Linked DNA regions of Drosophila melanogaster. The protein of the gene in region 2 purifies or fractionates together with the protein of the main gene of each other region. This does not show direct contact. Each region holds a gene or a part of one and is shown on either strand. Other genes may lie near its edges.

Region 1 (3,346 bases), on a different chromosome or scaffold from region 2:
AATTAAGGGGTCTACAAAAGATATAGAAGATATATGTAGATCTTTTTAAGGGGTTTTGGTTACATATACAAACTCACCTGACGCGCACATACACCTGGATGTTTTGGTTGGACTTCTTTTGGGGCTGGCGCGACGTATTCCCACCAGATATGTCCATATTGATCAATTGAAACAATTAATTGTGGTTTTAGCGCGTACAGTCCAAAAAATGACGCCTGTCGCGTGTATCGGTATGCGTGTGTGTGTGTGTTTGATTCCTGGAAATCCTTGTGCTTCACCTTCCACCGAGCCGAATGCTGATAACTGTAACTACTATTTACAGAAGGCTGGCGTGGAAAACCAATTTTCGCACTATTTCCAATGAGAACAGAGAGAAGCAGCGTCTTCAGTTGTCCGTTCAATTTTAAAATAATGCGCAAATAGTGTGACCGCAACACGGCACCCTGAAAATACCAACATCGAAAAATACAAGTATTGGAAAACTACAGAATGTTCAAATTATTTGAATTAAATAATTTTTTATCTTTTATTTGTTCTACATTAAACCATTAAATATGTATAGTAAACTCTTATTATCAAATAATCCCGACTAGGCTATGTGGTGAAGAATGCCCTGCCTCACGAGAGACTCCACCTGAGCTCGGGGCAGATAGTGCTGGCTGTTCTTCTTCAGGTGGATCACCTCGCCGTCGTCCAGCTCGAACTTCCCATAGTCCTCCATGCAGCGCACCTCGATGTAAAGTGACTTGGGCGGACGCAGATTGTTGGTTAGATCAATGGGCAAGCCCTGGTTGTAGCCCGCACTGCACATGTAGGCAGCCAGGGACTTGGAGTAGTTGTTGAAGAAGGTGACCTCCGGTTCGCAGAGTGCCTGCTTGATGTCCCCGGGGATAATGGGTCCAAACTCCCACCTGAGGGCCTTGATCCTCCTGCACCGCTCGTATAGGTAGGCCAGCAGGCACCTCTTGTTCCTCTGGAGAGCTGCGTGCCTGAAGTTGAGCAGGGGCCACAGACTGCGATCCCCGGAAGCATTGTAGCTGGAGGCCTGGGCCACGTTCTCCTCGAATATCGCCTTGATCTCCTCCAGCACCTGGCGCACCCCATCGTCGTCGAAGGCGGGAATTGTCTGCGACGATCTCTCCAGTTCTTTTAGCAGGTCGAAGGCTTTCTCGCCGAACATTTTTGTTTGTCGGCTCATTGTTGATCCTCTCTGTTTTTCTTTGGTTTGGGGATCTAGTGATGGATTCGCGCCAAAATGTTCGTCGACTTGTGGTATCGATACTTGGTATTTCTTTTGGTATATTTCAAAAAATAACAAAAATTTCATCCTCAGTAGCCATGTTCCTTTAAAATAGATTTGAAACGGTGATTTATCAAAATTTAGCTTACGAGGCCCAAATTATGCCGTCCTAAGAGGAAATGCCATCCTGGTTAGATTGGTGCAACTGCGGGAGTGGAGTACCACATGCAAGTAAGTGGGTGTGAACATCTTAAAGTATCGAATATATTAGCTATTCGCTATTCGGCTATTTAGCCAACTGGTCCATCCCTATCACACACGTAGTGGCAAAGAGTTGGCCCAAAAATCAGATGAACTGCAATTTGTGTGTTAAATCAATAAAGAACGAGTAACCTCCTGATTGTGTGGCTGATTTTGGTGCTGTGCGTGTGTGACAGCGGTGATAGCGACAGTGAATCCCCGATTACAGGAAGTGAGCAGAGAAAGAGGAAGCAGCACTGGCTATAGCTATTAACCCTTATCCCATTTTTAACCCTTAGTCTTCGAAGTGGGCCAGCCACCGCCCCCGGAAATCATGGACAGCAGGGAGGAGAACGCCGTGTACGATGACATGAACCTGTACATCGCACCGCAGAGCTTCATCATCGAGCCGAATGGAGGAGATGAGTTGCTGGTCATCGGGCGCCACGACAAAGTCACCAGGGTTCAGCCAGCGAGCGGAGGTCTTGTGGCCAACCTTCGCCCCACCAGGAGGATTTGTGGTGTGCTGGGAACCATTCACCTACTGAGCTGCGACTACCTTCTGGTGGCGACCCACCGCCTCTTCGTGGGCGTGCTCAATGGCGCAGTTGTGTGGAGATTAGCGGGCTATGACATCATACCTTACATTCCGAATTCCTTCCAGCGCAAGGAGAACGAAAACTACTTGCGACTGCTACGCCAGACACTTGACACCAAGTTCTTTTACTTCTCCTACCGCTACGACCTTACCAATTCGCTGCAGCGACAGCGGGAGGTGGCACAATCGCGGCCTGAAGTATCCGGGTTGCTCCAGCGCGCTGAGCAGCGATTCGTTTGGAATGGCTATGTGCTGCGGCAGTTCAACTGCGATAAGATGGAGAAGTTCCAGCTGCCACTCGTCCTGGGCTTCGTGTCTATCAACCAGGTGCAGATCAACGGGCAGACATTCTTCTGGAGCATCATCACCAGGCGTTCCGTGCAGCGGGCGGGCACACGGCTCTTCTGCCGAGGCAGCGACGAGCAGGGCCATGTTGCGAACTTCGTAGAGACCGAGCAAATAGTGGAGTTCAACGGGCAGCTGACTGGATTCGTGCAGACACGAGGCAGCATGCCCTTCCACTGGCACCAGCTGCCCAATTTGCGCTATAAGCCACGACCCGTTCTGGTGCCGGGCAAGGATCATTTGGCCGCCTGCGGGCTCCACTTTAAGGAACAGATCCGGCTGTATGGCAACAATGTGGCTGTGAATCTAGTGGATCACAAAGGTGCCGAAGGCGAGCTCGAGGCGACCTATGCCCGCCTGGTTCGAGAAATGGGAAATCCACAAGTGCGATACGAGTCTTTCGACTTCCACAGCGAGTGCCGTAAGATGCGCTGGGACCGGCTGAACATACTCATCGATCGCCTCGCCCATGAGCAGGATCAGTTCGGTGTCTATCATGTCTTCGACGACGGCAAATTGGTGTCCACGCAGACTGGTGTCTTCCGAACGAATTGTATCGACTGTCTCGATAGGACGAACGTCGTGCAGAGCATGCTGGCCCGCAGGTCCCTCACTGCGGTGCTCCAGAAGCTGGGAGTGCTTCATGTGGGCCAGAAAGTGGAACATGCCTCCGACATTTTCGAGAGCATTTTCAAGGGCGTGTGGGCGGACAACGCGGATCTGGTGTCGCTACAATATTCCGGAACGTGTGCGCTCAAGACCGACTTCACCAGGACGGGCAAGAGGACCAAGTCTGGTGCCATGCAGGACGGCAAGAACTCGCTGATGCGCTACTATCTGAACAACTTCGCCGATGGCCAGCGGCAAGACAGCATCGATCTTTTCCTTGGAAAGTATCTGGTCAACGACAACGAGGGCGGTGC
Region 2 (3,754 bases):
AAAATGGGAGTGGGAGAAGCAGGCAAACTCACAATGCGATTCCAATGAGCGAGACCATTTGGGCAAACTTTTTGCTGGGCAACGCATTCAGCTCCTGATACGAGCGCTCTAGCTGATTTCCGCCGCCAGCGTTGTCGCTATCACTGTCACTGTCACTGGACACCTCACTGTTCGATTCCAATTCCGAGCCTTCGATCACGCCCACATCATCGCTACTGCTGCTGGAATCATTGCGCGCTCTGCCACGGCCAGCGGCATTGCCTCCCTCAGTCTCCTCCACTGACGGCTCGTCGTCCGATGAGATCAACTCAATGGTGGTCATATCCCCGCCGGCGGACGACGGTGGCCAGGTTGGGCGCGATCGTTGGCGCAGCTCCTCCGACTTGTGCTCCTCCTCCTGCTGCGGCGACTCACTGTGCCCCTGCTGCGGCGAGCCCTTGCCCTGATCGGGTATCACGATCAGATCATACTCGTCATACGCATCGTCGTCCAAATCCTCTGCCGGCATCTCGTCCAGCTCCTTCTCCAGCTGCCTTTCCAGCTGCAATATATTGGGCATACGCATAAGGGCGGCGCCTATTGGAGCTATAATCTGACACTCACCTGCTTGTCGGCGTCCATGCTTCAACCGTTTATTTTGGTGGAAAACTTTTCGCTTTCCGTGGAACTGCAATTTTTCCCCCCCAAAAAAAATACAGGAAATAAAAAAACAAAAAAAAAACCGCAAACGCAGGGCTGGCCAATCTAATATCGCGTTGTTGCGCTTATCGTGGAAAATTATTTGGTTTCAGGTTTGGTTTCCCTATTGGGCACTTTTTCTTGGAAAAACTTTCCAAGCACTTACTTTCTGAGAATTCGGTTAACGAAAACTTATCATTTTCTGTCAAGAAACACCGGTAAAGTGTGAATAATATGCGAATTTTTTTTTCGTTATAACAGTGTGACCAGTGCGTAATATCGATAGCTGTGCGCACTCGATAGTTGCGGCAGTCCAGACAATGGCTGTGTTACCAGCAGTGCAGTGAAGACTCGTGATGAGCAATTTGAAGACTAATTTCGGTAATATGTGGTCAATATTAACTGGTTTCTTTGGGCGGTCAGAAATGTATAGCAAAGTCAAATGATAAACTAAATCCTACCAAGAAATATAATTTATTTTAAACATATATATATTTTATAGAAATAAATAAAAATGGAATTTATTTTACTTAAGTGCTATATATATATGTATCATAAAATGTAAACAATTTCTGTTTCTTTTACACAAACTATTTAATAATAATAAACTATTTAATACGCAGCCACATCATAAATGGATTAAGTGTAGACAGTACTCAGGCAAATAATAAAAATATTATACCATTATATGAATGGATTAAGTGTGGACAGTAATTAAGCAAATAATAAATATATTACTATATACTATAATACTATAATAGGAATTGATTAGGTGTAAACAGTAATAAGTCATATAATACATATATTGTATATATTATAGGATATAGTAATAATAATATAATAATAATTAGGCAAATAATAAATACAAATATTATACTATTATAAGAATGGTTTAAGTGTAATAATATTATATATTATATAATAATTAAGCAAATAATAAATATATAATACTATTATAAGAATGGATTAAGTTTAAACAGTAATTAGGCACATAATACATATATTGTATATATTATAGGAATGTATTAAGTGTGGACAGTAATTTAGCAAATAATAAATATATTTTACTATTATAGCAATGGATTAAATGTAGATATTAATTAGGCAGATAATAAATATATACTACTATTATAGGAATTATTTGATAGTTTTCTATATTGTATGCATTACAAATTAAGTCAGATGTTCGGTGGAAACGTTTTAATTATAAATTTGCATATCAACGTATATTTGCTTATATTAGTTAGTTTGCTATGTCCACTATGTTTTATATAATAAAGTTAATAATTATATGTAAATATATAAAAAAAGGAAATAATTATAGCATATATATTTTGCCCGCGCAACCAGTCTTCAAATGCCCACAGTATGGTCACACTACGCTTTTCCCGCGAAAAAACTTTGCATTCGGCGTGCAATTTGCGACATTAGTTTTGTTTGCATTTGCGTTTGCCTCCGAACGGATCGAAGTTGATCCATAAGCGAAATCGAAAGAAGTTTTGTGAACTCCAGTGTACAGCTTAAGTCACAGAATGGCCCACGAGGGGGAGCAGTTCATCAAGGACATACAACGCGAGTATGTGGACTTTCTGGACGACGAGGAGGATCAGGGCATCTATGCGGGCCACGTCAAGGATATGATCGCGGAGAAGAGCAAGCGCCTGATCGTGAATGTCAACGATCTAAAACGCAAGAATCCGCAACGTGCATTGGGGCTACTGAGCAACGCGGCGGATGAGCAGCTGGCCTTTGGCAGGGCGCTCAAGGAGTATGCGTCCACGGTTGATCCGGGCTATGCCAAAATGCATGAGGATCTGTTTGTCGGCTTCGAGGGCTGCTTTGGCAATCGGCATGTGACGCCGCGCTCCCTCACCTCCATCTATCTGGGCAACATGGTGTGCGTGGAGGGCATTGTTACCAAGGTATCGCTGATTCGTCCCAAGGTGGTGCGCAGCGTTCACTATTGCCCCAATACGCGTAAGGTAATGGAGCGCAAATACACCGATCTCACATCGTTCGAGGCTGTGCCATCTGGCGCTGCCTATCCCACAAAGGACGAGGATGGCAATCTGCTGGAGACCGAATACGGTTTGTCCGTTTACAAGGATCACCAGACGCTGACCATTCAAGAGATGCCCGAGAAGGCGCCGGCTGGCCAATTGCCGCGTTCGGTGGATATTGTGTGCGACGACGATCTCGTGGATCGCTGCAAGCCCGGCGATCGTGTACAGATTGTGGGCAGCTATCGCTGTTTGCCGGGCAAACGCGGTGGCTACACCTCGGGCACGTTCCGCACCGTGCTGCTGGCCAACAATATATCGCTGCTCAGCAAGGAGAGCAATTTGGACATATCGCGCGAAGACATCATGCTGTGCAAGAAGCTAGCGAAGAATAACGACATCTTCGAGCTGCTCAGCAAGAGTTTGGCGCCCTCGATTCATGGACATGCCTATGTGAAGCAGGCCATTCTTTGCCTGCTGCTCGGCGGCGTTGAGAAGATCCTGCCGAATGGCACACGCCTGCGTGGCGATATTAATGTCTTGCTTATCGGCGATCCTTCGGTGGCCAAGTCGCAGCTACTGCGCTACGTCTTGAATACGGCACCAAGGGCCATACCGACAACGGGTCGCGGATCCAGCGGCGTCGGTCTGACGGCGGCGGTTACCACGGATCAGGAGACCGGTGAGCGGCGATTGGAGGCGGGCGCCATGGTCCTGGCCGATCGCGGTGTCGTCTGCATTGATGAGTTTGACAAGATGAGCGACATCGATCGCACAGCCATTCACGAGGTGATGGAACAGGGTCGTGTTACCATTTCCAAAGCGGGCATCCATGCCTCGCTCAATGCTCGCTGCTCCGTTTTGGCAGCCGCTAATCCGGTGTACGGAAGGGTAAGAGTCCATCCGAATCCGTCTGTTCATCGCTTTTCTTGCTAATTTCGTCTTCAATTCCAGTATGATCAATATAAGACGCCGATGGAAAATATTGGACTGCAGGATTCGCTGCTTTCGCGTTTCGATTTGCTCTTCGTTATGCTGGACGTGATTGACAGCGATGTGGATCAAATGATTTCGGA
Region 3 (3,754 bases), 4.3 Mb from region 2:
GGGTTTGGTAAAATCTTAAACTAAGTGTACACGTGAGGTCTCGCGATATAAAACTAGCTTAGCACATAATATGATTGAGCAGGGATGTGTCGGTAGCAGGTAGAATAGAAAGCGGCGTGGATTAGGCTAACAGCACCGTGAGGGAGTCCAGAAAGCGTGTGAGGTCGCTCTGCCGCAGCTGCACCACCGCTGGCTCGAAAAAGTCCTGCAATAGAGCGACTCCACTCTTTTGCGCCGCCTGCTCGAAGGCCTTGCCAAAGAAGTTTCGCGGAGAGTCTTCCCTTACCGGGACAATGCCTACCAGCAAGCACATGCCCTCCGAAGCGTTCAGGGGACAACTTGCGATCAACGGCAAGTCCGAAGCCTGCCTGGCTCTACTCGTGGCCACATGTCCGCGCAAAAGAAAGCGAGCCAACAGTCCAAGGGCATAGGGGTATGAGAAGAACGCGTGTTCCTCCTGCAGAACGTAGTAGAAAAAGGAGCCCGCTGAATGAACTTGGCGTGCCTCCAAGCTGCTCTGCACCTGCCGAAAGACAGCAGCATGCAAAAGCTTCGCCTGGTCGATGCCTGCAGACAGCAGCTGCTTGTGCTGACGACTCAAAGCATCCGAGGCCTCCAGAAAGCAATCCTCCGGAGTCTTGTGCTTCTTCACGGACTCCATGATGGCGAGCAGGGCATAAACGTAGTCCGCCGCAGCATATCTGCTGCGGTAGCCGTAGCTCAGCGTAAAGGTGCCGTAAACTATGTCCGCTATGTCGTACTTCTCCGCCAGGCGCTCCACCATCGAGAAGAACTCCTTGCGCAACACCAAATCCATGGCTCCGTACGTTTGGCGGGCGTGCACCAAGGGAAGTCCCATCTCGAGCAGCAGCTCGTGTAATCTCTTCTCTCCGCGCAGTGTCCACAGCTTCAGCTGGCATGAGGAGTAGCGGGAATACCTACGATTATACTACATGATTAAATGGCATAGAATACACTGTCAATGCTCACCTCATGGATTCCGTGACGGGCCAGTGGCGGTACAAGACCAGATGCAAATCATTCTCGAAGGTTATCTTGGAGGCACTCATCGTGTTCTGATCATTCGTTTTGTTCGTCAGTCGGGACACATGCGACTGGATTTGCTCCAGCTCCAAAGTATACGCTCCACTCTCGATCTTGCCCAGCAGCAGCTGCTCCGTGATGCCCACAATGGCCCACCAGAGCAGGTCCATGTTGTCTTTTGAGAGCTTCCAGGCCAACTCAAAAACCATCAAAGCGGCGGACCTGCCGTAGTAGCTGAACTGCGTGTACTCGAACATAATCCTGTCGCGCTCAGACTCCCACTGTCGGCGGGCTCGCTGCTTCAGGATGCGTTGCTCGTGCCGCTCCAGGCGACTGAGCTTACGGCTCCTTGGCGCCTGATCCTCCTGGTCCGATTCCCCGGCACCACTGTCGTCGTGCTGCTGTTCCGTGTCAGAGGACTCGTCCTCATCCTCGTCTTCACCTTCAGAGTCATAGAAAATTGTCTCGAACGCTGGAATATTCTCCTCCAAGGAGGCATCCCCCAAGATGCACACCTGCCGATCGCTGTAGATGTTACACACATCCAACGGGCGATGTGAATCGCATATGAAGAAGGTCACGTCGTCCGACGGCTGCAGGAGCTCCACAATATCTACACAGCCGCCGCAGTTCACCAACACCACGTACTTAACGTCGCCCTGGTGCTCTCCATAGGCCCGCTTCAGACCCGTAACGCCCATTATGGGCACCACGGTGTACAGCATGTGATCGTACTTGAACAAGGCCTGCAGGATGCGACTGGCGCAGATGGCATCGATGTCGTAGTTGACCACGATCAAGATGCGCTTGCCAACCAGCTGGCGGTAAAAGTCGTTGCGCAGATCCTGGACAAACATGGTGAACACTTCTGGCGGGAATCCCAATCGTCTGCCTAATCTGTCTACGTCTAGACACAACGGTCTCTTTCCAATCGCTTACGATGCAAAGTAGAATTCTACATGAGTGCAGTGCGTTGCATTTTGAGGGTTTCCCTGCGGCTTGCGCTATTTTCCAGCTTCCCACTGCCGCTCCACTTTTGCTTTTCTGGCAATCGCAATTGGCGAATCAAAAACGCGGGAAACAGCTGGCTTAGCCAGTGTGACCAGTGTGAAATAATGGAATGGCGCGGAAATACAATCGTTGCTGGGAAAAGAATATTCTGCGAATTTCCAGAAATTTTGAGCTGCCAAAAACCGAAATTATAATCACATAATGTTGAATTTTGAGAGCTCTTTGCAGTTGCTGCTATTGCAGTAGGAGCAATATCTTGGCGCTCCAGATACGGTCACACCGCGACGCCCATGTGTTTTGAATTGCCACAAAAACGAAAGTCTACCAGTCGACCAGCTTTGTGCGACAAAAGCCTCAGAATATGAGCAGGGACAACAAGATGAAGCACCTGACCCAGCGGGCCATCTCCTCACGCATGAACTACCTGTTCCAGGCCTCGAATTTAATGGCAGTAGGCAATCAACCAAAATTGGCCGCCTATTATGGCAAACTCTGCCGCAATGTGGGCACCAAGGCTATCATGCACATGTAAGTGGCTTCTCCAGTGGAGTATGGGCAAATAATTCATGGCGTCAACTGGTTTCAAGGGCCCCGGCCGTGAAGCGTTCCCTGTGCAGGCGCTGTTTCCTTCCCCTGATTCCCGGAGTGAATACGGAGCTGCATGTGGAGGAAGGAGCACAGGAGGCCAAGACTGATGCACAAGCTCAATCGAACGGAGCAGTCAAAACGAAGAAAAAGCGCCATCGCAGGCAGCGCAAGAAGCCCAGAAGCCGGAAAACAGGGAACACCAACCAGGAGGAATCCGAGGAGCAAATCCAAGAAAGTACTGAACAGGTCTCTTTTTTCTTAGAGTGCTCACTCTGCTGCGGCCGGCGAAGCTTTGCGGCGAACAGTCAAAGAGACTGCTGGTTGGAGCAGCCGCAATCCATAGTGCAAGTGGTCTCGCTCCCCAAAGAGAAAGACGAGCGATAAGCTGAAGCTTTGCTTATCAGCCAGCCTGCCTGTTGTGCCATCACCTGATTGCTCGGCAGTTGAGCCTGGAATGCTTAGCTGTAGGCAACTTATTTCTCGGCTGAGCCTTCTTCGGCAGGCGAGCACATTTGCTTGTGTGCGACTATGCCCCGACTATGTAGAAGTCCAGGAGGAGCAGGGCAATCTCCTGAAGTACCCCCAAGTTTGGCTTAGGGACAACTGTCAGTGTGCCGAGTGCTTCCACGCCGCCACAAGAGCAAGAAAAAGTCACTGGGATCGTGGCCCGCTGAATATACCAGTGTCCCAAGTGGCCTACAACAAGGAGAGGAAACAGTTGGAGATCATCTGGCAGGACAAGCACAGGAGCACCTTCGATCTAGGCTGGCTGAGGGAAAGGGACTTTGGAGAGACTGGCAGAAAGCATTACTTGGAGGAGGTCTACAAGCCACCCGCTCAACTCTGGGGAAAAACGGAGTTCGAGGATGTGAAAAGAGAATTCCAATACGAGGATGTGCTGGAGCAAGATGCAGCCCTGAGAGTTTGGCTTGAGGCACTGGCAGTCCAAGGATTCGCCATTCTGAAAGGGGCACCCAACGACATAAATGTGGCTAAGAAATTGGCCGAACGAATTGGCTACATAAAACGCACCACCTACGGGTAAATATTAACCAATAGATGACATACTTCATCGTACAGTACCAGGGTCATAAAACTCACATTTGCCGAG

Evidence for each region.
Region 1: the proteins of Mcm3 (region 2) and Psf1 purify together in Drosophila melanogaster (affinity purification with western blotting; 2 studies listed by BioGRID, with this or other methods). This does not show direct contact.
Region 3: the proteins of Mcm3 (region 2) and Cdc45 purify together in Drosophila melanogaster (affinity purification with western blotting; 5 studies listed by BioGRID, with this or other methods). This does not show direct contact.

Annotation. Positions count from the first base shown.
Region 1 is NT_037436.4:1,246,477-1,249,822, forward strand, and holds Psf1 (partner of Sld five 1), read right to left. Parts: upstream 1,202-3,346; 5' UTR 1,199-1,201; coding exon 590-1,198; 3' UTR 510-589; downstream 1-509. Other genes in the region: CG32318 (uncharacterized protein), read right to left, coding at 1-11, 78-157; Sac1 phosphatase, read left to right, coding at 1,815-3,346.
Region 2 is NC_004354.4:5,321,787-5,325,540, forward strand, and holds the start of Mcm3 (minichromosome maintenance 3), read left to right. Parts: upstream 1-2,068; 5' UTR 2,069-2,210; coding exon 2,211-3,569; intron 3,570-3,632; coding exon 3,633-3,754. Other genes in the region: Rnp4F (RNA-binding protein 4F), read right to left, coding at 33-541, 604-621. UniProt on the Drosophila melanogaster protein: Acts as a component of the Mcm2-7 complex (Mcm complex) (Mcm complex) which is the putative replicative helicase essential for 'once per cell cycle' DNA replication initiation and elongation in eukaryotic cells.
Region 3 is NC_004354.4:1,028,427-1,032,180, forward strand, and holds the start of Cdc45 (cell division cycle 45), read right to left. Parts: upstream 2,131-3,754; 5' UTR 1,902-2,130; coding exon 991-1,901; intron 939-990; coding exon 122-938; 3' UTR 1-121. Other genes in the region: Rpp21 (ribonuclease P/MRP subunit p21), read left to right, coding at 2,417-2,583, 2,643-3,027; CG14630 (uncharacterized protein), read left to right, coding at 3,098-3,684.